Linked DNA regions of Alligator mississippiensis. The main gene of each other region encodes a partner of the protein of the gene in region 3 in a complex. Links are inferred from orthologs where the notes say so. Each region holds a gene or a part of one and is shown on either strand. Other genes may lie near its edges.

The links. Proteins that work in one complex are often made in the same cells at the same time.
Region 1: CACNB3 (region 3) and STAC3 share a complex: the UniProt entries of both Homo sapiens proteins name them as parts of the calcium channel complex. The link is inferred for Alligator mississippiensis from reciprocal best matches to the Homo sapiens genes CACNB3 and STAC3.
Region 2: CACNB3 (region 3) and CACNG1 share a complex: the UniProt entries of both Homo sapiens proteins name them as parts of the calcium channel complex. The link is inferred for Alligator mississippiensis from reciprocal best matches to the Homo sapiens genes CACNB3 and CACNG1.

The regions. Positions count from the first base shown.
Region 1 is NC_081838.1:7,291,137-7,298,735, forward strand, and holds the start of STAC3 (SH3 and cysteine-rich domain-containing protein 3), read right to left. Parts: upstream 3,055-7,599; 5' UTR 2,960-3,054; coding exon 2,760-2,959; exon of another isoform or gene 2,352-2,759; coding exon 2,291-2,351; intron 1,924-2,290; coding exon 1,662-1,923; intron 923-1,661; coding exon 825-922; intron 698-824; coding exon 622-697; intron 528-621; coding exon 430-527; intron 1-429. Other genes in the region: R3HDM2 (R3H domain-containing protein 2), read right to left, coding at 4,108-4,454, 5,169-5,253, 5,465-5,565, 6,165-6,309, 6,404-6,576, 6,746-6,846, 7,116-7,270. UniProt on the Homo sapiens protein: Required for normal excitation-contraction coupling in skeletal muscle and for normal muscle contraction in response to membrane depolarization. Required for normal Ca(2+) release from the sarcplasmic reticulum, which ultimately leads to muscle contraction.
Region 2 is NC_081831.1:5,752,570-5,760,510, reverse strand, and holds the start of CACNG1 (voltage-dependent calcium channel gamma-1 subunit), read right to left. Parts: upstream 3,055-7,941; 5' UTR 2,942-3,054; coding exon 2,707-2,941; intron 1-2,706. UniProt on the Homo sapiens protein: Regulatory subunit of the voltage-gated calcium channel that gives rise to L-type calcium currents in skeletal muscle. Regulates channel inactivation kinetics.
Region 3 is NC_081838.1:6,572,975-6,580,258, forward strand, and holds the start of CACNB3 (voltage-dependent L-type calcium channel subunit beta-3), read left to right. Parts: upstream 1-4,268; 5' UTR 4,269-5,170; coding exon 5,171-5,215; intron 5,216-7,217; coding exon 7,218-7,284. UniProt on the Homo sapiens protein: Regulatory subunit of the voltage-gated calcium channel that gives rise to L-type calcium currents. Increases CACNA1B peak calcium current and shifts the voltage dependencies of channel activation and inactivation.

The sequences.
Region 1 (7,599 bases), about 720 kb from region 3:
GCTGAGCAGAGGATTGTGGGTAAGGGGAATGTGGCCCCATGGCTGCCCCAGGGGACTGTGGCTCATGGGAGGTGGCCTCGTGGCTGCCCCAGGGCATTGTGGGTAAGGGGAATAGGGCCCTGTGGCTGCCCCAGGGGACGGTGGGTAAGGGGGGGTGGCCCCGTGGCTGCCCCAGGGGACAGTGGGTAAGGGGAGGTGGCCCCGTGGCTGCCCCAGGGGATTCTGGGTACTGGCGAGGCAGCTCTGGGCAGCTGGTTCCTGGGGCCTCTCAGACTTGGGGGGAGGCCCTGCCCCAGCCTACTCCCAGGCTGGAGTTTCCCACAATGCCCTGGGGGTCAGTGGAGGGCCCATCACAACAGCGCGATGCCTTGGGGAGATGGATGTCCCCCCACCCCCCAGTGCCCCAGCACCCCCCAAATGCCCCCTCACGTTCTTCTTCTCCTCTTGGCCCTTCTTGCGCTCCTTGTTGGCCATGATGACGCCTGTGCGCAGGGTCTCGAACACGGGGTCACTCCGGTTGGTGGCGGCTGTGGGGGGGGGGATGCCCCAGGGGGGCATTGAGCATGGTGGGGCAGGGCCTGGGGAGTCCCCGAGCGCCCCCGGGGGGGGGCAGGTACTCACAGAGCAGCTCCTTGACGCAGGCGTACTGCTGGTCGCTGTACAGGGGCGAGCTGTAGGCCCGCCGGAAGCCGGGCGGCTGCGGGGGAATAGGGGTTAGGGGCCAGCCCGGACACCTGGGTTCTGCCCCCGGCCCTGCAAGGTGGTGGCCCTGGCAGGCCGGGGCAGCACCCGGACGCCTGGGCTATGCGGGGTCCCGCACTCACGATCTTGCCGAAGCAGCGCTGCATCTTGGTGTAGGACTGGCAGTGCTGGTGGATGCTGGTCTTGCAGTTCTTGCACCGCAGCCCAAACTTGTTGTTCACTGTGAGGAGGGGACGGCTCAGCCCCAGCCCTGCAGCCCCTGGCACCCTGCAGCCCCCCACAGTCCCCCAGCCCCAGCCCCAGCCCCTGGCTCCCCAGCCCTGGTCCCCCAGCACCCAGCCACTGGTCCCCAGTGCCCTGCGGCCCCCCAGGCCCAGCCCCCGGTACCCTATGGCCCCCCAGGCCCAGGTCATGGCCCCCGCAGCCTCCCAGCCCCAGCATCTGTTCCCTGGTGCCCTGCGGCCCCTCACGGTCCCCCAGCCCCTGGTCCCTGGTGCCCTGCACCCCCCAGATCCTGGTCCCCTGCAGCCCCTGCAACCCCCACCCCAGCCCTGAGCCCCCTTCTGCCAGCACCCCCGGACACCCAGCCAGAGCAGAGGATTGTGGGCAGGGCCGAGTGGCCCCGTGGTTGCCCCAGGGGATTCTGGGCAGGGCCGAGTGGCCCCGTGGTTGCCCCAGGGGATTCTGGGTAGGGCTGAGTGGCCCCATGGTTTCCCCAGGGGATTGTGGACAGGGCTGAGTGGCCCCGTAGTTGCCCCAGGGGATTGTGGGCAGGGCCGAGTGGCCCCGTGGTTGCCCCAGGGGATTCTGGGTGGGGCCGAGTGGCCCCGTGGTTGCCCCAGGGGATTCTGGGTAGGGCTGAGTGGCCCCATGGTTTCCCCAGGGGATTGTGGACAGGGCCGAGTGGCCCCGTAGTTGCCCCAGGGGATTGTGGGTAGGGGAAGGAGGTCCCCACTCACGGACAATCATGCGGGCACAGACGTCGCAGAACTTGGGCTTCTTGAAGTAATGCTCCTTGAACTTGTGGGGCTTGTCATTGACGGGCGGCGGTAGCTCCGGGGGCGGCTCGGGCTCCTCCTCCTCCTCTTCCTCCTCCTCGTAGATGTAGTAGAGGGGCCCCCCCGAGGGGCTCACCAGGGCCCCGTTCTCGGGCTGCGGCTCGGGCGTCTCAGGCGGCGGCTCCGGGGCCTTGCGCTGGAAGAGGTGCCGGAGCCGCTGGATCTGGGGGAGATGGGGCTCAGCAGGGAAACTGAGGCACAGAAGATGGGGGGAGTGTCCTGGGCCGCATGGCAGTGATGGAGGCAGGGGTGGAACCCAGGAGACCCCACAGCCCTTCCCCAGCTGGGCACGGAAACCAGCTCCCACTGCCCTAAAGCACCAGGCGCTCCCCCTCGTCCAGGCCGGGGTACAACCCAGGCATCCAGGCTCCAAGCCCTCCGGCCCACTCGGCCCCCTGGGGAGATGCTGGCTGCTAGGAAGACACAAATAACACTCTCCCAGGGCCCTTCAAGTGGGGGGGGGGGAGCAGTGGCAAGGCCCTGCCCTGCCCCACTAGGGCTGCCCAGGACCCCTTGGCCCCAGAACGTACCTGGCCCTCGGCCATCTCTCCCGGTGAGGCCGGTGGCTCCAGTGCTTCCTTCTCCGTCATACTGCCAAGGCAGGGTAGGGGTCACGGCTCTGGCTCCCTTGCTCTTGTGCCCCCCACTCCCAAGATCTACCTGGCCCCCCAGTCCCAGTCCCACTGTTCGGGGGCTGCGGGTCAGAAGTGCGGGGCATGGCTGGGGCTGGGGGGCAGGAGAGGCACTGCCAGGGCTGCAGGGGCTCCCCCCTCTGGGGGATAGTGTCACTGCCCCCCCCCTGCAATGTGCCCACCTTTGGGTCTCCCCGCCAGCTCTCCCAGACGCTTGTACAAGGAAAGCGCCAGAGCTGGCCCCCCCCATGGGCCTCTCCCACCCCCAGGGACAGACAGCAGACCCCTGGGGCCCCCGCAGCTCTCGTAAGGCCGAGGGGGGTGACGGGGAGGGGTGCAGGGGCTCTGGGGTGCAGGGGGCACTCACACTGTGGCCGGGCTGGGCAGGGGCCTCTCACTCCAGCTCCAGGCGGTGCCCGCGGATGGGCCAGGACAGCTGCGCCCGCATGACAGCGAAACCCGAGCTGGGCGGGGGCTGGCCACGCTCATGGGGGCCAGGGCACAGCTTGGGGGACTGCCCCATGGGGGGGGGGGCACAGCCAGGGCCCAGCCCATGACATATGTCATCTTGGGGGGGGGGGGTCATGAGATCATAACCCCATGGATGGGGGTCACACCCCCTTGCCCTCCTTGCATGGGGGGAGGGGGGCAGGGTGTCAAACCCAGTTCTCCTCTCCACCCCCCACAGTGTAACCATGCCCCTTGCAGATGGGGTCAAAGGCCAGGGGTCAGACTCGGAGACCGCCTTGGTGACAGACGATTTTTTTTTCTTTTTATATTTAAAAATCAAAAAATCCCCCCGCCCCCCCCCAATAATAATAATAAACCCATTAAATAAAATGTACAGTGACCAACCCAGTGCGGCCACGCGGCGCCCGACAGAGCAACGGACATGGGGCTGGGGGCATCAGGGCCAGCCCAGGGGTGGTGGCGGTGGTGGTGGGGAGAGGGTATCTGGGCTGGGGTGGAGGGTCCAGGCCAGGCTGGGAGAGTCTGGGGGCTTTGGGAGGAGGGGCGTCTGGACCAGGGTTGTAGGGTCAGGACCTGGCTGTGACGGGCTCAAAGAAAGGCGAGGGGCTGGGGTCCTGGCTATGGCCTGGAGGCTGCATGGACAGGCCAGGGTGGGATGTGTGTCCAGACTGAGCCTGGGGGTGGGGATCACAGCTGTGTGTGGGGTTGGGTTCAGGCCAGGCCAGGGGATTCGGGGGGGGGGGGGGAGATCTGGGAGCTGTAAGCTGAGGTGTTTATGGGGGTCCAGGCCAGGCTGTGGGGGTCTGTGGGGGCAAGGGTCCCAGGCCAGGCTAGGGGTGGTTTGGGAGATCCATGCCAGGCCAGGGGGTCTGTTGGGGGGTGGTGGTTCAGACCAGACCAGGCTTGGGGGTGTCCAGGAGCTGTGGGAGATCAACCAGGACACAGGGGATGTGGGGAGGTTCAGACCAAGCCAGGCTGGGGGGTTCCAGCCCAGGCTAGGGGGGGGTCTGTGGGGGGTCCAGGCTGGGTCAAGGGGGAACCAGGCCAGGCCAGGGGGGTTATGGGGGTCCGGGCGAGGACCTCTCACTCCAAAATCAAAGGGCAGTGGCAGGAACAAATCACTGTCTCCTCTTCATCGCGTCCATATAAATATCTCCAGAAAGAAACGGGGTGAACGAAAGCAGAGGCGCGCGGGGAGGCTCCGGGGGCCAAAGTCCAGCGCAGCCCCCAGCCCGGCAGGGGCCCTACTGGGAGCTGGCGCGCTCCAGCACGCGCAGGTCGTAGTGGCGCTTGGCACCACGTAGGCGGAAGCGGCTGAGCGGCGTGTTGAGGCGCAGTGAGGCGTTCTGGGCGGCCAGGGGGCTGGGGAACACGGCCACCACCGTGTAGAGCGCCGCCAGGTCGGGGTGCCGCCCGTTCTCAGGCCCCACGCGCCCGTCCCCGGCCCCCGCGCCTGCCCCGCGCCGGCCCCGCGTCTCCTTCAGCCACTGGATCTTGGCGCCCGCCATAGCCAGCTGCGTGAAGAGCTTGTCGGCCTCGCTGCGCGTGATGCCCTCGGGCAGGTCCGTCACCTCCAGCACACGGCCCGGCACTGTGGGGACACGGGTGTCAGCCAGGGGGGCCACGGGGGGCCCATCCCCGGCCCTGAGGGGATCTAGGAGCCCAGACGCCTGGGTTCTCCCCCGGCGCAGTGGGCGAGGCCTGGGCACGGCGGTGATTTTGTGACGGCTGTGGCTGGGGACAAATCCCAGCAGAGCCCGTGCCAGCCACCCCCACCTGTGGCCCCGGCTGGCCCCGGACCCGGCCAGCTGAATTCCTTGCTAATATTAACCCGGGCGCAGCAAACTCCCCCTCCTGGCTCCAGTTTCATTGGGGGGGGGGGGAGCAGGGGGCGGAGAGAGCAAGAGGCTCCACCATGGCGCTGCAACGTGGCCCGCAGCTGTCCTGCAGGACAGGGGTGTCATGGATGGTCCCAATAGCAAGCACTGAGCCAGCTCCTAGGGTGAAGCCAGCCAGGAGAGAACGCAGGCATCCTGGCTCCCAGCCCCCGACCATGCCCTGCCCCCTACCCAAGCTGGAAGCAAGGACAGTGGGGGAGGGGGTGGCATTCCCTGCCCATGCATTAGGGTTCAGCTGTGGCAGAAGCTGCCCCATGCGCAGCTTTGTGGGCAGGGAAACTGAGGCACAGAGCAGGAGAGGGACAGGCCAAGATACCCTGGCTAGGCAGGGAGGGAAAAGGAGTCCAGGTACCAGCCTCTACACCCCGTGCCCCTCCCAGACATACCCCGGGGGGGGGATCACTTGCCTACATCGCTGGTCCCGAGGTCAGTGGATGCGGACTTGAGGGCCTGCCTCTTGCCCCTGTTCCCGTGCTTCATTCCTGTCTGGCTCTTCAAGAGTTAAAAGAGGTGTTCCCTAAGATGCTGCCCCCTACTCCCTTGCCAACTTGCCCCCCACCCCCATGCTAGCCAGGGTGGCAGGGCTCAGTCCCCCCTTCCCCAGAGCTCCTGAGGGGGCAGTGGTGACCCCAAGCTCCCCCCCATCCCTCAAGATGCCCCCTCCCATGGTAGGAGCTACCCCTTGCCCGCCCAGCGCCCGTACCTGGTGCGAGGTGTAGCTGGGCTGGCTGTGCAGCAGCGGGGGGGGGCACAGCGCCAGGTTGTACTGCAGAGGCTGCCCCAGCAGCGAGTAGCGCCCGTCGCCTGCCCGGTGGGAGCAGAGATTGGTGGGGGTCCCTGTCAGCTCCCCACCACAGGAGCAGCCTGTGCTTCCCACCCCAGGGGGCTCCAGACTCCGCCCCCTGGCACTGACCAGCCAATAGCCCCACCTCATGGGGCTGGAGACTCCACCCCTTGGCACAGAGCAGCCAATGGCCCTACCCCATGGGGCTCCAGACTCCGTCCCCGGTACTGACCAGCTAATGCCCCTGCCCCATGGAGCTCCAGACCCCACCCCTTGGCACTGAACAGCCGATGGCCCCACCCCAGGGGGCTCCAGACTCCACCCCCTGGCACTGACCAGCCAATGCCCCTGCCCCATGGAGCTCCAGACCCCACCCCTTGGCACTGAACAGCCAATGGCCCCACCCCATGGGGCTCCAGACTCCACCCCCTAGCACTGACCAGCCAATGCCCCTGCCCCATGGGGTTCCAAACTCTGCCACCTGCAGAGACTGACCAATGGTCTGGCCCATTGGGCTCCAAGCCCCACCTCCTGCAGAGACTAGGGGCTCCCTCCTTGTCCCAGAGCCCCTGGGCCTGCACGGGGGCAGCTGCCCCACAGCTCCTGCCCCTGCCCCTACCTTGTGCTGGGCCCACGGGCCGGGGGAACTGGGCGAGGACGGGGAGGGGGCTCAGCCCCGGGCAGACGCTGCTGAGGCTGGTGACAGGCGACGGCGTCGGGGACTGGGTGGGGGATGTGATGGGGCTGCTCAGCTGGGTGCTGGCCTGGGGGGGGGCGGGGGGGGGGGAGTGGGTCAGGGCCCAGGGCTTCCCCACAGAAGGGATGCGTTGGGCCCAGCCCCCCCGCTCCCCCTTGTACCTGAGCGCTGGTGTCGGGGCTGTATAGCTCTCCGGGCTTCTGTGCCCGCTGATCCAGGCCGTAGTACTTGCAGTGACTCCACTGCACCACGGGCGGGTTCTGGGGGGGCTGGGGGCCGTTGGGCACATTGAGTTGCATGACGACCACGCCGGGCCCCGACGCCGACACCCCTGCTGGGAGGACATTGGGGGGGGGGGGGGGGTGAGATAGGGGCTGGTGCAACGTGGCCCCAACTCCCCTGGCCTGGCAATGGCTCAGCTGCGGGGGGCATCACTATCTGGCCCCTGCTTGAGGCAGGGGCAGCAGAGGGACCCCCGGGGTGCAATGAGGTGGGCTCGCTACCTGAATACTGCTGCTGCATCTGCGGTGGGCTGCAGGGCGATGGGGACTGGGGCAGCTGGTACTGCTCGGAGCCGGGCGGCTGCAGGAACCCAACAGACGAGCTGCAAAGAAGGGGGTGGATGGTGATGGAGCAGGGGACAACACCAGCCAACTCCCCCACCCCCCACAAGGACCCGCAGCACCTTCAGCTCATGCATCCTCGAGATAGGAATGCGGCTGCTTCTGGGGAGAGAGCTGAAGGGCTCCTGTGTGAGCCCCCATTGCACAGATCCCCTGGTCACAGGCAAGACCCCGCCCCAGGTCCTCCCAGCCCAGCAGGGCCACACTGGCTGACTAACCCCACCACAGCCTCAGCTAGCCTGTCCCATACCTGGTCCCGTTCTGCTGGGCCGTGGGGATGACGCTGTAGTAGACAGGCAGCCCCCCGGCCTGCAGCCCCCCCTGCACCGACTGGCTGGCAGGCACCAGCACCTGCTGCTGGAACGGCTGCTGCACCACGCCCTGCGCCTCTGAGCCCACTGGCACCTGTTGGTGGGGGGTGGAGACCCCGTTAGCCCAGGCTGGGGGGGCTCAGGGGACATGACACCCCAGCAGTGACACTGGGGACAGGTGGGCAGTGTCAGTGCAGGGGGGGGCAGTCAGGGACATGGATGCCCATGGGTGGAGGAAGACAGATGGGGTGGGCATCAGGGAACCCCTTAGCCCAGAGCTGCCCCCCCCCACCTGCCTGAGTTCAGACTATAGATACCCACAGTGGCTATTAGCACCCAGCACCCTGATGAAAGGGAGGATTGGTGGCGGGGGGACCCTAGATCCATCGTGCCCAGTCTCTGGTGTCACACAGGGGCAGAGCG
Region 2 (7,941 bases), on a different chromosome or scaffold from region 3:
ATTGCAATTTTGTAGATTTGTAGATTTTTTTATAAGAACAGCGTTCATTTATCAATCTGCCTCCAGCATCCACAGGCTATAAAAGTCACTTGGTGATGTTCTACACCATGCCCATATCTTCTGGGGGATAAGGAATAAGATTTACCTTTCAACATCCCATTTTGATTTAAAGACTTGTCATGATAAAGAGTCTACCCCATCCTCAAGTAAGTTATTCCAAAGGTCTGTTACAGTTAAGGCTCACATGTTTAAAACCTGATGTCTAACTTAAACTTCCAACTACTAAATCTTGTCATTCCTTGGATAAATTTACGAACCCTTTCTAGTTTATTAGCATATTTTTTTAAGTAATTTTAATTCTCTTTGCCTGAATCACAAGACCTTTTCTTAGCTTACAATCCCCAAGCCCTTCCTTTTCATGCCATACCGTGCTGAACTCAACAAATAAATAATAGTAGCAATGCCATCCATCTTTTCCGTGAGTATGACTGGGTAAGTGGCTATTAATGAAGTAGTAAATACTTGTAATTTTTCAGATGATGATGATAGTGTAGGATTTAATATCTCATGACATTTAAGGGGGAAAAAAGATCTACTGATATGGTCACAAGCAAAATCCCCGCTTGTCTGTTTGTTCTGCTAAACTTTCTTGACAAACCCAAGCTTGACAACTGGAATGTCTCTTTTTCAAGAGTGTGATACCATTACAATAATGGCAATATTACCTACAATATAAGGGGGAATCCTGAAAAGCAGGATTCTTGGGTTTCTTTTCAAACTCTGCTATGGACTATATGTGGGGCTAGTTTTAGTCCACCCCTCCCTATTTCAGATTCCCTATATGGAGAATGGGTACAGTAATATCTACCTTATAGTGGAGATATGAGAATGTTATTAACAGTTGTTAAAAAAAAAAAAATGTGGGGGACGGACTCTTTCAAAGCCTCCAGTAGTAGGATGACTGGTGCTAGAAAATTAATTGTTAGGTGGTTGGGATTAAATTTAATCAAATCTCATGAATAACTGCCAAGTGCTGACCTGTGCAGCATACAAAGATTATGTCTAGTCTTTTCAAGTTGCTTTGCAGAGGACTGGCTCACTTCTTTCATAATTACCTATTTGTTTACTGGACACATTAGGAAGGCAGTGCAGAGGGATGGATAGCTCAGCTATGTGACAACCATGCAAGCACATGGTGATGTCCATCAAAAAGAGCAGTCATTTCTCTGCTGCAGTGACTCAGAATCTGTTTTATAGAGACAGCTGGGTATTTATAAGTTATAAATGTATCCAGCAACATGCAGTATTGGTGTTCCCATGAATCCTTATTTTTATGTTAAACATAGAAGCTCTAATGTTTGCAAAACTAGGATTGCACATACATATTACAACACATTTATTATGCATATTAGATATGGCCTACAGCCAGTCGTCTAGACTCAAACAGCTCCAAATTTGGTGGAAGCCTGGATCTGAAAGCTGCGGATCAGATCTCTAATAATAAATTAATTAATCACATGAACTGAGATTTATCGTTATGCAATTTCATAGCATATTTACAAATATATTAAAATCTAACCTTAGCTTCAAATAGTATTTCTAACAAGCAAAGCAGCCTATTACTTCTGCTTGGCAAATAATCCAATTCATGGCAAGCCTCTTTAAAATACAGCTTAGTGAAGTTGTGAGTAGGGTATTAGCACATGTTGCATGAATGTTGCTGACTTTCCATCCAGCAAAAATATAATACGACTTTTTAATATATCATGCTAATGTAATGTTCTCCCTGGAAATCACCTACTTGACTACCATGCCTACTAGTTGCAGTAAGGGCTACTTACAACGTATGTTACTACTTGTCATGAAGAAAGGCAGCTGATTAAACTTCATTTAGCAATAATGTTGGAATATGTTTGCTTTCAGTCACTGAAGTTTAAGGAAACCCAATAAATTGATGATATATTATTTCTAATTCAGTCTACGGGATTTTTGGCATTTAAATGAGGGAGATGGTTTCCAGGGAGGACATTACATTAGCATGATACATTAAAAGTTGTATGATTGTCCAAAGTTGCACATTGTCTGAAGCAATGATAATTATTCAGGGTAGCTTGGGGATATGTTAATATCCTTCCTGCACAAGCTGTCCCTTTGAAGTTATCTGAACCAGGAAGTTCTTCTTCTGAGCTAACTGCAGACACTAGATTTTGTCTTATAATCCTCATACAGGCAAACCTCACAGTGAAAATTATATACATTTTCCTTGAATAAGGGCTTGTGTAGGTGTTTTGGGGCTGGGCCTATTGAAGATTTCATCAAAACACCAGTGAGAAAATGTCCCATTTCCCTGATTTCAGTCTATGCTTTCTGCCATCTCCTATCTGTTATACGAACTATATTCTTTTTTTTTCTGTACAGAAGCTACTGAAAGGCAGTGTACTGAATATACTTGAAGATATGTACTGTGGCAGTACATCATGTACTTAAGATAAGCCTCAAGGAAATATGAAAATAAGGTGTATTTTCATGCTAATATGGAACCGAATTCACTCAGGAAATCTTGTAAGACTAAGTGCAATGCGAACAAAGAACCATATCTCCTTTTCAATATGTCTTGTAGGTTCCTAAAAGACATGAATAGCAATAACGTGGCATTTTCTCTCAGGCATTTCTGGGAAGGGATGTGAAACGAGCATTGACACGTACCTCCTGGCAGACTGATCGGTCCACAGCCCTTCTCTTTAGTATCCTGCACGTAAATCCGTTTTGTGCAAAGCCGCCATAGCCCAAAATGAGCAGCCTCACAGGTGGCATTGTAGTGCAGCACTTCAGGGCTCAGCACTGCCCAATGATCAGTCACCACAGCTGCAAACAATAAAGCAACACCAACCAAAATAACGGAGAAAGTTAGCCGGATTTTCAGTGTTTTGCCTTCGTCCATGGCTGGACTGTGTTGGAACACATAGAGCAGCCTCTGCCTGGTGATTACTGCTGAGTCTGCCTTGATCTGCTTGCATGGAAGATCATTGCAAGTTATTCAAATGGTCTCCCAAAGTCTTGGCATGTCTAAGCATTTTCAAATGTCAGCCCTGTGATGCAAAAAAGAAGAACAGACTGGGCTGGGATGGATATGGCCACAAGTACAGCTGTTGAGATATATCAGGAGACTGGATGACTGGACTTGTTGTGAGTGGGGATTCTTTTAATGCACGTAATAAGTGAAGTAACTGCTGCTGCAGCTCAGGTTACTGGTTCATTCCTCCTTGGTTTGTTCTGGAGGTCCATATGCCAACTGGAAGCAAAACTAGATCTGTATAACTAAATTCACGGTTGTAAGACCAAGACCGCCTGACTCACAATGTGACCAGGAACAGTCAATGGTGTAAATTTTTAACTTCCCAGTTAGTATGTAAAATATCTGTTGTTGTAACTGAGATAAGCATGAGCTCACTTTTATTCAAAAAAATTCAATATTGGATCCAAAATCAATCTCCTCCTTGTCTGCAGGCATTCTCAATCCTGGGGGAATGCGCGACTCAAGTCAATGTTTGCAAAAACACAAATTGTGCAAATGTATCCAAACACCTCAAAACTTTGTAGAAGTCAGGATTTTGATCTAATTATGGAACCGAACTTTTACTTTGTAATCCAGGTATATCTCCACTGTGATAGGATTGGATAAATAATGGATTTTTCAATTTGGTGGTTAAAACAAGTACTGGAAAAAACATTTCAGTTGAAATCACAATAGAAACTTTTAAAAATTCTTTTTGATGAAACAAAAAAAATAAGGGTTTTTTTTTCTTTTTTTTTTTTTTTAAATCTAACCCAGACCATTCTGTCTGAGCCCTTCTTTTCTTTTAAAATTTAGGTCAGTTATTAAATGGAAAATGCCATTTTGAAATGATGCACATTAACTGGAAAATATGTATTAAGGTGCTTGCTATCCAGAAAAACATTTAGCCATGAGTGGAAAGGACAGAAATTTGGCTAAGCATCGTCTCATCAGCATTAGTTTTTATTGTCACAGTCTGAAAGAGAGCCCTCTCAGCAAGAGTCTAAGTGGGATTGGAGCGGGGAGGGATATAGGCTAAACAATGAGAGGTTGAAATGCTTTTCAGCAGTGCAGCAGATTTTTTTTCTTTCAGGCTTGCCTCTCAACTGACCCTAAATACTGTGGCTGGCAGGGAGCCTGCTCAGTAGTTGTTGGCATGCTGCTGTACATATCTGGCATGCAGGTGACTGAGTCTGTGCTTGTCAGCTGGCCAGCAGCACTTGTTTTATGGAGGATTTTAGCCTGGTGTGTTGTTCTGTACCATCACGCTATGTCTTACATTGATGCTGTTCTGCAGTAGATTTTTATTAAGGTGTAAACAGGCATCAGCAAATGAAGTGGATCAGTTGTGCTGGGAGTGTCCTGGCACAGCTCCTCTGCTTCACTGGGTAAAACAGACATCCCACAGGTTCGGGCCCCTGCCGCTCCTGGGAGCATGTGGGGCCCAATCCTGCAGGACAAAGTTCAGGGCAGCCTTTTTGTAGTCTTGTATATTGTGTGGAGGGTGTGTGTATGGTTGGATAGGGGTATGTGTGTAAGGTGGGGTGTGGGGCTGTATGGGTATGGTGGGGTATTGGGTATGTGTGTATGGTGGAGTGTGGGGGTGTGTAAGGTAGGGTGTGGGGGTGTGTGTATGGTGGGGAGTGGGGGGTTTGTAAGGGTGTGTGGCCGTATGTGTGGGGGGAAATAGGGTATGTGGGGAGGTTGTAAGGGCTGGGTGTGGGTGTGTGGCACTTGTGAAGTGTGAGGGAGGGTGGGATAGCCACCATGGTGCATAGCCCCCACTGGCAGCAGCAGCAGCAGCAAGCGGGGGCTCTCAGGATGCTTGTGCCCAGGGCAGGTGCTGGCACCCAGAGGCACGTGGCTCTGTCCAGTGCTACACATCACAGGCAAGGGGAGGGACTTCTAGTGGCAAAGGTCAGGGGTTAGGGGCGGGACTTCCATCTGAAGATGGCGACCAGGGGGTGGGGCAAGCATCAAGAGGTGGGCTACCCATGCGGCCCTCGACAGCTCACCAAAACTGGTTAAGCAGCCCTCCAGCTGAAATAATTGCCCACCCCGGTCTAACACTACCAATGTTTTTAAACATTTTTTTCCCTTCAAAAAACAGCCTTATTAAAACCCAGATTGTTCATTCAAAAATATGAAATTTTCCATGAACATTTTTTTGTGGCTTTAAAAATGTCTTTGTCTTCAAAACTTCCTAAAGCCCCAGTACTTTTCTTTCCCTGGAATCAGGAGTAGCTGTCGTGGTACTGTTTGCTTCTTGTCACTGGTGTCCGCATCTGAGTTTGCACCTAACAGTGCCTTAACAAATTCAACAGGCACAGTGGATTGTGCTCCTTTTCTTCCAAGCCCTCTGGCCATGATGGTGCCTCTAGAGGTAACGGAGCCTTCCCAGTAACAGAGGGAAACGGACAGGTCAATAAGAACAGGATTTTACCCATGCGAACAAAAGTGTTTGGGGCAATCCTTCCAAATTCCAGAGGTCTATGGCCCTGAATCCACACATTTCCTTTGGTTAGAAAGCAGCTGGTTTCCTTACACCAAGCAGGGACTTTCAGTTGCGGGGGGACTCTTTGGTCAGAAAAAGCCTTGCAATGTACACAGAACAGAGAAAGCAGATGCACAGAAAACATCTTCTCCCATACAATGCATGGACCAGGCCACTGAAAATTAGGGAGAGAAGCCCTGCCATCAGACTGCTCTCCCACACACAGAAAAATAAAGGATATTGCTGCGGCCAAATTGTAACATGGTGAAATACAGAAATACATAGTGAATGGGACTCTCTCATTGTTGCAACCCTACTGGACTTCAACACCTCAGCTGATACTGCTAGATTCAATAGTGGCTGCATGGTTGTACTTTTGATAAATGTTGTGAAATACCTGCCTCTGTGGAAAGGTGCTCTAGAGGACGCTAGTGCAAGTCTCTAGAACAGGGATACCGTGGAGCCGAGGAAGCCTAGCGAGAATTTGGAGGGCTGGGGTTTCTGTGAAAAGAACCCCAGCTTCAGCATTTATGATCAGGTCACAAAAGCATTGGATGCAGGTGTCGCTGTGGATGTAGTCTTTCTGGACTTCAGCAAGGCCTTTGACACTGTCTCCCATCCCATCCTCATTAAAAAACTAGGCAACTGTGGCATCGATGCCTACACGGTCAGATATATTGCAAATTGGCTGAAGGGTCGTACTCAGAGGGTGGTGGTGGACGGGTCATATTCGACCTGGGGGGAAGTGGGCAGCGGAGTCCCCCAGGGCTCGGTCCTTGGGTCTGCGCTGTTCAATTTCTTTATCAGCGATTTGGACGACGGGGTGAAAAGCAACCCGTTCAAATTTGCTGATGATACCAAAATTTGGGGTGAGGTGGGCACACTAGTAGGGAGGGAAAGACTGCAGAAAGACCTGGATAGGTTGCAAAGGTGGGCTAACAAAAACAGGATGCATTTCAATACGGACAAGTGCAGGGTGCTGCACTTGGGCAGTAGTAACCAGCAGCACACTTATAAGATGGGAAACTCCCTTCTTGAGAGCATGGAGGCAGAAAGGGATCTTTGAGTCATTTTTGACTCCAAGATGAACATGGGCCGACAATGCAAGGTCATGGTCGGCAGGGCTAACCGGACCCTATCGTGCATCCATAGGTGCATCTCAAGTAGGGCCAAGGAGGTGATCCTCCCCCTCTACGCAACACTGGTCAGGCTGCAGCTGGAGTACTGTGTCCAGTTCTGGGCACTGCACTTCAAGAGGGATATGGACAACATTGAGAGGGTCCAGAGGAGGGCTACCCGCATGATCCAGGGGACATCAGGGCAGACCCTACAATGAGAGGCTACAGGACCTGAACCTGTTCAGCCTTCACAAGAGAAGGCTGAGGGGTGATCTTGTGGCTGTCTATAAACTCACTAGGGGGGACCAGAAGGGTTTGGGGAAGACCTTGTTTCCCCTAGCACCCCCCGGGATAACAAGGAATAACGGCCACAAGTTGTTGGAAAGTAGGTTTAGATTAGACATCCATAAGAACTACTTTACAGTCAGGGCGGCTAGGATCTGGAACCAACTTCCAAGGGAAGTGATGCTGGCTCCTACCCTGGGGAGCTTTAAGAAGCGGCTTGATGCCTACCTGGCTGGGGTCATTTGAGCCCAGTTTTCCTCCTGCCCAGGCAGGGGGTCGGACCTGAAGATCTACAAGGTCCCTTCCGACCCGACTTCTATGATTCATGAAGTTTCCACTGGTTTTGTGGACAGACTGAGTGGTGGGGCATAGAGCCTGCTCCCTGATAGAATAGCACAGGCAAAATCTTCCAGTGGAAGCTCCCAGGACTTCCCATCTTACAGCCATCAAGCAAGACCTCTGTGATGTGTAAGAGGGTTGAGTGGCCAAACTAGTAAAGATCGGTAAGAAAAAAGTTGAGATCAAAACAGTTACAGCATGGCATGTATGAGAGGAATTAGAGGATTGGGCCAAAAGAAATCTCATGAGGTTCAACAAGGACAAGTGCAAAGTTCTGCACTTAGGATGGAGCAATCCCTTGCACCGGTGCAGGCTGGGGGCTGACGGGCTGGGCAGCAGCTCTGCAGAAAAGTGCCTGGGGGTGACGGTGGACAATAAGCTGAATGCGAGCCAGCAGTGTGTCCTTGTTTCAAGAAGGCTACCGGCATCCTGGGCTGCATTGATAGGTGTGTTGCCAACAGGTCAAGGGAAGCAACTCTTCCCCTCTATTCAGCTCTGGGGAGGCCACATCAGAAGTCCTGTGTCCAGTTTTGGGCCCCCCACTACAGAAAGGATGTGGACAGATTGGAGAGAGTGCAGCAGAGAGCGACAAAAATGGTTCAGGGACTGGTGGACATGGCTTGTGAGGAAAGACTAAGGGAACTGGGCTT
Region 3 (7,284 bases):
TCCATGCCTGGGAAGGGGAAGGAGGGTCTTGGTTGGTCCTGCATCCCCCTCCCCTGGCCTAGCCCCCAAGCCCCCCACCAGGGACCTCAGCCTGCAGCCCCCGCAAAGCCAGATCCCTGAGCTCCATGTCTGTTCCCCTGTCAGAGTCCTGGGACCTAGAGGCATCTCTGCCCACAGGTTTCCAGCCCCCCGGTGGGAGGCAGGAGGGGGCTGGCCTGCGGGGGCAGTGAAGCTGGCCCTGAAACCCAGCCTCACATTCAGCTGCCCTGACACTTGGGTCCAGGACCATGGGAGCTGACAGCTTCACTCCTGTCCCCCGCAGTCTGGGCACTCAGGGCATGAAGGGCACCCGGGCCATACCTGTGTGGCGCTGTCTCCGGCAGTCATCCCTGGCAAGGTGGTCCTGGGTGCCAGGGGTGTCAGGGGTCCTGGCTCCCCCACGAGGCTATGAGCTTTGGCTGCCCTGGATCTGCGCATGTGCCTACATGACCCACCATGTCCCCCTCTGTCCATGGCCAGCGTCTCATGGTGCGTTGGTGCCCAGGCCAGACCAGGCCACACATGCGTGTGCGTGCACGTGCACAAGCATGCGTGTTGGGGATGCGGTGAAGCACTCGTACCACACCGGGATCATGCCAGCCGGTGCCTCTCCCTTGCACCCAACCACACCAGAGCCACCCCCTTCTGCCCCAGTGGAGCTGGAGCCTCAGCACCCTGGAGCGGCGCCGTGGCTCAGACCCCGTAGCAGCACCACCCCTGCCCCTAGCACCCCCCTGCAGGAGGGTCTGTCCCAGCCCTCCTTTCACTGCCCATCCCATCTGCCCCCAGACCCTGCCCAGGCTGGCTGTTGCCAGGGGGTGCAAACACCAGTGCCCCTTTTCCCCCTGCATTGGCTCCTGTGCCCCATTCCCACCTCCCTGCTCCCCCAGCTCCCCCACCCCACCCATAACAACCTCCCAGGTGGAGCTGACTGCCCCAGCCAGCCCCCCTGCATTCCCAGCCCAGCCCAGCCCAGCCCTGCCTCATTAGCGCCCCCTTGCCACCACTGCCCAGCTGATCCCGCCTAGCTGTGCACCCGGGACCCAGCCCCCCCCTTCCCCACGCAGTGCTCTCCAGGCTGGGCCGAGCGGGGGAGCATCCCCGGTGCCGGGGGACGGTGGCTCTGCAGAGGCGCCTGGCAGCAGCCTGGGCTGCTCAATAATTCATGGCTGCAGGCTCACTCGCTCACTCACGCATGCATGATGCCCTCCTTCGGGGCCGCACAGTGCCCCCATATGGGGTGCAGGCTCCAGCTAGCAGGAGGGGTGCTGAGTCCTGCCCAGGGATGAGGGCAGGAGTCCTGGCCCTCAGACCCCCCTGTGCTGGGCCCTGGGCCCTGCTCTCCCATGGCCAGTGGAGCCAAGGGGTCCTGCGCCTGGCGTCAGCAAGAGGCTCGGGGCAGCTCTGTATAGAGCAGCACTGCGTCAGGGCACGCGCCCAGAAATGCTGAGCTCTCCATCTGCAGCTCGGGCCGGGGGGCTTGGGTCACCAGTGCTGCTCAGCCCAGCCTGGTCTGAGCCATGTGGAGTCCAAGACAGTGGCCAGGGCAACCTGCGGCCAGGCAGGGTGGGCTCAGCTGGGCCCCCCAGGGGAAACTGAGACTCATGACCCCCCAGGGAAACTGAGGCACAGGGAAGTGAAGCAACTTACCACCACCCCATGGCTAGGATGGGATCTAGGAGTCATGCCCCCCCCGCCCCCACCAGCTCTTTGAACCCAGGAGTCAGAGCCCGCCTGCTCAGATACCAGCCCCCAGCCCCTCCCGGAGTAGGACTGGCTCCCAGCCCCCCTGTCTTTGGCCGCTTCACACCCCCCCACTCCCTGCCTCAGAGAGCAGGCTGGAAGGAGTGGGGGCAGAAGCCCTGGGCAACAGGAGCTGAGCCCAGCCCCCCACCCCCACCTCCCCCCACGCCTCCATCTCCTCTTGGAGAAACCGAAGATGCTGGCGTGTCCCGGGGGCATGCGCTGGCCTTGGCCCGGCACATCCATTAGCGGCGCTGCCTGGGCCCGGCTCGCATTTATGCATCTACTGCACAACAGATAATGGCAGGCCCCCCCACCTCCCGCCCGCCTGGCACCCGGGTCGATACAGCAGAAGGAGTGCGGAGAAGCACGGCCCGCGCTGCTGGGGGTGGGGGCGGCCCAAAGCGGGTCCCTTTTGGGGGGCACAGGCAGGCCGGAGCCGTCGCTGGGTGCAGCTGTTTCTGGGGTGCAGCATGGCCCTGGGGGGGGCTGGAAGTGGGGCCCAGACATGCATGGCAAGAGCTGCTGTGCGGCCCGTTCAGCCTACCCTGCCCCAGCTGAGCCACCCGGGGCTCCTGGGCTGGGGGGGGCAGCTGGCTGCTGAGTCCCTGACCCTGACCCTGACCCAAGGGAAGCTCCAATCAGCACCTTGGAGAGATGCCAGCAGGGCAGGGGCTGCGGGATGGCAGCTGGGCCCGGGCCTGGCTCCGTGGCCGGGTCGTGGCTCCCCCAGGCAGGGCCCAACCCCAAAGGGCTTTGCTTTGGGGCTTGGATGTGCCACTGCCAGCTCCTGGGCCAGCCCAGGCCAAAAAGGGCCTGGCATTGACCTCGTGACCCCAGAGCACTGTGGCGGGCTGGGGCCTGGGAAATCGGGGCCATGCCGGGGCAAGAAGGCCTCACCGGCATGGGGACTATTTGATGATTGAAGTTTTCATGGTGCAAAACCACAATCTCTGAGGGCCATCTCCGGTGTTGGCGGCCAGCGCTCACCGGCATGCGGGGAGCACTAGGGGCTCCTTCCAGCCCAGAAGGACTCGGCAATGCGCCAGCAGCACCACACGTGGCCCACGTCCAGCCCAGAGCTGCAGTCCAGCTGGGGGGGTCCAGGCAGCCCCCTCCCAGGAGAGGGCCTGGAGCCTGAGCCATACAGGACCCTGGGGTGCTGGGTGTTGGGCCCAGCATCGGGGGCTGGGGGCATTCGTGCGCCGCCCCATGAAATGCTCGTGCGCTGTCCCGTGCGCCATCCCGCGGGAGCGTGTGGGCTGGGCTTCCTGCCCCTGCGCCGAGCTGGGCTGGGCTGGGCTGACGTGAAGCCAGATTGGGCACGGAGGCACTCGGCACCGGCTCCCCGCACACCCTGCATGTCTCTCTCCAACTCCAGCGTCTTTCTGCTCAACGAGGTAACAGCCCTGGGGCTGAGAGCTGGGGTCCAAGGGATGAGGGCTGAGCGGGGCCCAGCTGATGTGACCCACTGCCCAGGGCTCGGGGGTGCAGCGGCTGCATCAGGCTGTGATGCCAAGGGCAACCGGCCATGACCACTGGGAGCTACTGACGGCGGGGGGGTGCACAGCTGGGCAGAGGCTGGGGGGCAGCAAGGGGCCAGAGGCATCATAGAGCATAAGGGGTGGCAGCTGGAGGCACGGAGGACAGTGTGGGGTATGGGGGGGGCACAGCAGGGCAGCGAGAGCAGTGCGGGCTCCACCGGGGGGGGGCAGTTCGGGGCAGGGAGGCCACACGGGGAGCTCGGGGGCAGTGCAGGGTCCGGGGGGGGGCAATGCGAGGCAGGGGGCACACGGGGAGCACGGGGGCAGCGCGGGGTCTGGAGGGGGGGGCAATGCAGGACAGGGGGCACGCGGGGAGCACGGGGGACAGCGCGGGGTCCGGTGGGGGGGGCAATGCGAGGCAGGGGGCACACGGGGAGCACGGGGGCAGCGCGGGGTCTGGAGGGGGGGGCAATGCGGGACAGGGGGCACGCGGGGAGCACGGGGGGAGCGCGGGGTCCGGTGGGGGGGGCAATGCGAGGCAGGGGGCACGCGGGGAGCACGAGAGGCAGCGCGGGGTCCGTGGGGGCCGGGCCCCGCTCGCCCCGCACCTGCTGCGGGCGCGGGCGGCGGCGGCGGGGGGCGGCGGAGCGGGTGCGGGCGGCGGCGGGAGGCGGAGCCGGGCCGGGGCCGGAGCCGGGGCCGGGGCCGGCGGCTGCGGGCGGCGGCGGGGCCGGGCATCGCGGGCGGCGGGGCCAGGCCCGCCCCGGGGGCGGTGCGGGGCGGTGCGGGCCGGGCCGGGCCGGGCCGGGCGGGCAGAGGCGCCGCGGGTGCGGGTCTCTCCGGCCCCGTCTATGTCGTTTTCTGACTCCAGCGCGACCTTCCTGCTGCACGAGGTACCGGCGGGGCGGTGCGGGGCGGTGCGGGGCCCGGGCAGCGCGGCCCCGTCGGTGGCACGGGCCGGGTGCACGGGCTGGGGGGGCAGAGGATGCGGGGCTTGTGCCTGGGGGGGGGCAGGCTTGTGTCTGCCCCCAGCCCTGGGCCCCCCCGCAGCTCCCCCATCTCCGCAATGGGGGTCCGGGCTGCCTGGCCCGTGCGAGGGGGACTGAGGCTGGGTCCTCGTGCGAGGGGAGCTGTGTCTGAGCCTTTGTGCAAAGAGGCCTGGGTCTGAGCCCTCGTGCAAGGGGTGCTGCGGCTGGGCCTTCATGCAAGGTGGGCTGTATCTGGGCCCTCGTGCGAGGGGTGCTGGGGCTGGGCCTGTGTCCTCGTGTGAGGGGCACTGCGGCCAGGGCCTTGTGCAGAGAGGGCTGTGTCTGGGGCCTTATGCAAGGGGCGCTGGGGCTGGGCCCTGGTGCAAGGAGGGCTGGGGCTGGGCCTGGGTCCTCGTGCAAGGATGCCTAGGTTCTGTGAGCAGGGCCAGCCGGCCCGTGCAAAGGCCCTCGTGAACAGAGGAGCAGGCTGGTGCCGAGGGGCACTAGTGCCAAGCCGGTGACTCCAGAGGCCAGACTGAGGGCAAGGCCACGGCCCCTGTGCCCCATGCACAGAGCAGCCCTTACCACAGTCACCCGCCCCCCCCACTCCTGCGTTGCCGCGGCGATGAGCCTGCCTCCGCCCGCCCGCCGGATCCGGCCCTTCCCTCTCCCAGCTCTTTGTTTCCCTTGTGCTGCACCGGCTGCCGGCTCCCCGCGCTCCCCCGCGCGCCTCGCCACGCCCCCCCGCCCTGCCACGCTCCCCCCGCGCCAGCCCCACAGGCAGGTGCAGCCAGGTCCTGGCACCGGCGCCGTGCCCAGCCCAGCCCGGCCCCAGCCTCCCCAGCACAGCCCCGACTCCGGCGGCACAGGGCGGCGCAGCCCCGCACCCCGGTGCCCCCCTCCTCCTTGCTGCGACCCCCCCCCAGCAGCTCCTCCATGTATGACGACTCCTATCTCCATGGCTTCGAGGACTCCGAGGTGGTGAGTGGGGAGTGCCGGCCAAGGGGAGGGGGGCGATGGAGCTGGCCACGGCAGTGCCCCCCCAGCCTGCGGGTGGGTGCCAGGGCCAGGCCCCCCTGGTTGGGGCTGGTGGGGGGGCTCCTACCAGACCCCACCCCTGACTGAGCTATTTATACAGCACTATGGCGGAGGTGGGTGCCAGGGATGGCTGGCGCAGAGGGAGGGGGGCTGACAGTTCAGTGCCGCGGGTGCAGGAAAAGGGCCTGGCACCGGTGCTGGGGGGGCTCTGGAGGCCCCCCTCCATACAGCCTGCCGGAGTCGCGTGGCACCAGGACCCAGGGCCATGCGAGCCGTCTGCAATGCTTGAGCTGGCAGGGTCCCACGGACCCGGCTCCAGCTCCAGAACGGGGGGCCCATGCACCACGTAAGAGTGCCCATGGGCTCCTGGGCCAGGCCACGGGTGGCCGTACCAGAAGGCTGGGCAGCTCTTGTCCCCTCCTGGCCCGGCCTGGGCATGGGCAAGCATCAGCCCTGCCACAGTGCCAGACAGGGAGCGTGTCCTGGGGAGGGGGCAGAGGCCACGGGGGGTGCAGATCCAGGGGCCTATAAATATTTCACCACAGCTTCGGCTTCCTTTTGGGGCCGCAGCAGGAGTTGTTCAATTAAGCAGGAGGCTCCCAGCAGGGAGGGTCTGGGGGAGCAGGGTTCAGCTCTGTTCCTCTCTCTCTGCAGCTCCCCATGGGGTGCTTGTCTGCTGGGGTGGCTGTCACCGCAGCCTCCAGGCTGGGCACCAGGTCCCCTTGCCCCTGGCCTAGACCGGGGGCAGGGGATGTTGGGCTCCCGGGAGCCCAGTGTTGGTGCCAGTGGCCCCCGGTGCTGCCCTGTGGGGGGGGCGCTTTGCTCTGCTCCGCAGCGCGTGGGTGGGCACCAGGGGGCTGGATAATCAGATGCAGCCACACAAGCGCTTCCCCCCAGGCGGCCGCGCCTGGCATTTCCCAGGGCATCTGCCGAGCAGCAGGAGCCCCGGGCCCGGCCGCAGGGGGGTGGGGCAGGAGCCAGATGGGACCGGGAGGGGAGGGGAGGCGGCATCTCTGCCTCTGCTTCCCCAGCCTGCAAGGGAGCAAAGGTCACTGCAGGGAGAGCGATTGGGGGGGTGGTACATGCTAGAAGCCCTGAGACACGCCAGTGTCACACAGCTGCCACTCAGGGCCCCGCTCCCACGTGTGGTCATGCCAGTCGCTGGCACCCGTATCCCACCCGCATCAGGCCTGCACTGGGACACACTCATGCATCCCACGCTTGGGCACACGCTTGTGCCCTGGCACTCACGAACACATGCCTTGGGATAGTGGCGGGTGCGGATGTCTGACGCACATCCGTGCGCACGGCTTTGCTCATGCTCACGTGTTGCACTGGGGCATCGACGTGCCCTGGAGCTGAGGCCAGGACTGACCCCATCCAAGGACCATGGCAGGGGAGGGAGCACTGGGCGGGGGGAAACTGAGGCTCAGATGTGACGAAGGCAGCGCCCTGCAGCTAAGCAGAGCTAGAAAACCTGGGAGTTGGGCAAACCCCTGCACTTGCAGGTGGACCCAGAAGTCCGGCTACACCTGGTGTAGCAGCAAAAAAGGGAGGGGGGGGCTGCATCAGGGAGGACGTGGCCTGGGTGGGTAATTGGTGCCTGTCACGCCCAGGGGTGGGGGGGTGGCCCAGCTGCTTCTGTGCCCGAGAGCAAAGGGCTGGGCCCACCGAGCTGCGGGTGCCCCCCTACCCTGGGCTGCCAGGGGGTGGGGGGAATGTGGTGGCAGCTGCAGCACTGGTTCTGCCCTGTTTCCCTGGTGCCAGGAGCTGACTTCACCTCCCCAGGGCAGGCGCGAGCCGGGATTCGCTCCCGGGGCTCCTGGGGCTCAGCCTGCTCCTGGCACCTGGGAGATGCAGCAACCGCACTCGCTGCCACACTGCCGGGGGGCTGGCTGCTGTGCACAGGGGGCCATGGCTGATGCCCAGGTGCCCTCCACCACAGGGTTCAGCCGACTCCTACACCAGCCGCCCGTCCCTGGACTCCGACGTGTCCCTGGAGGAAGACCGCG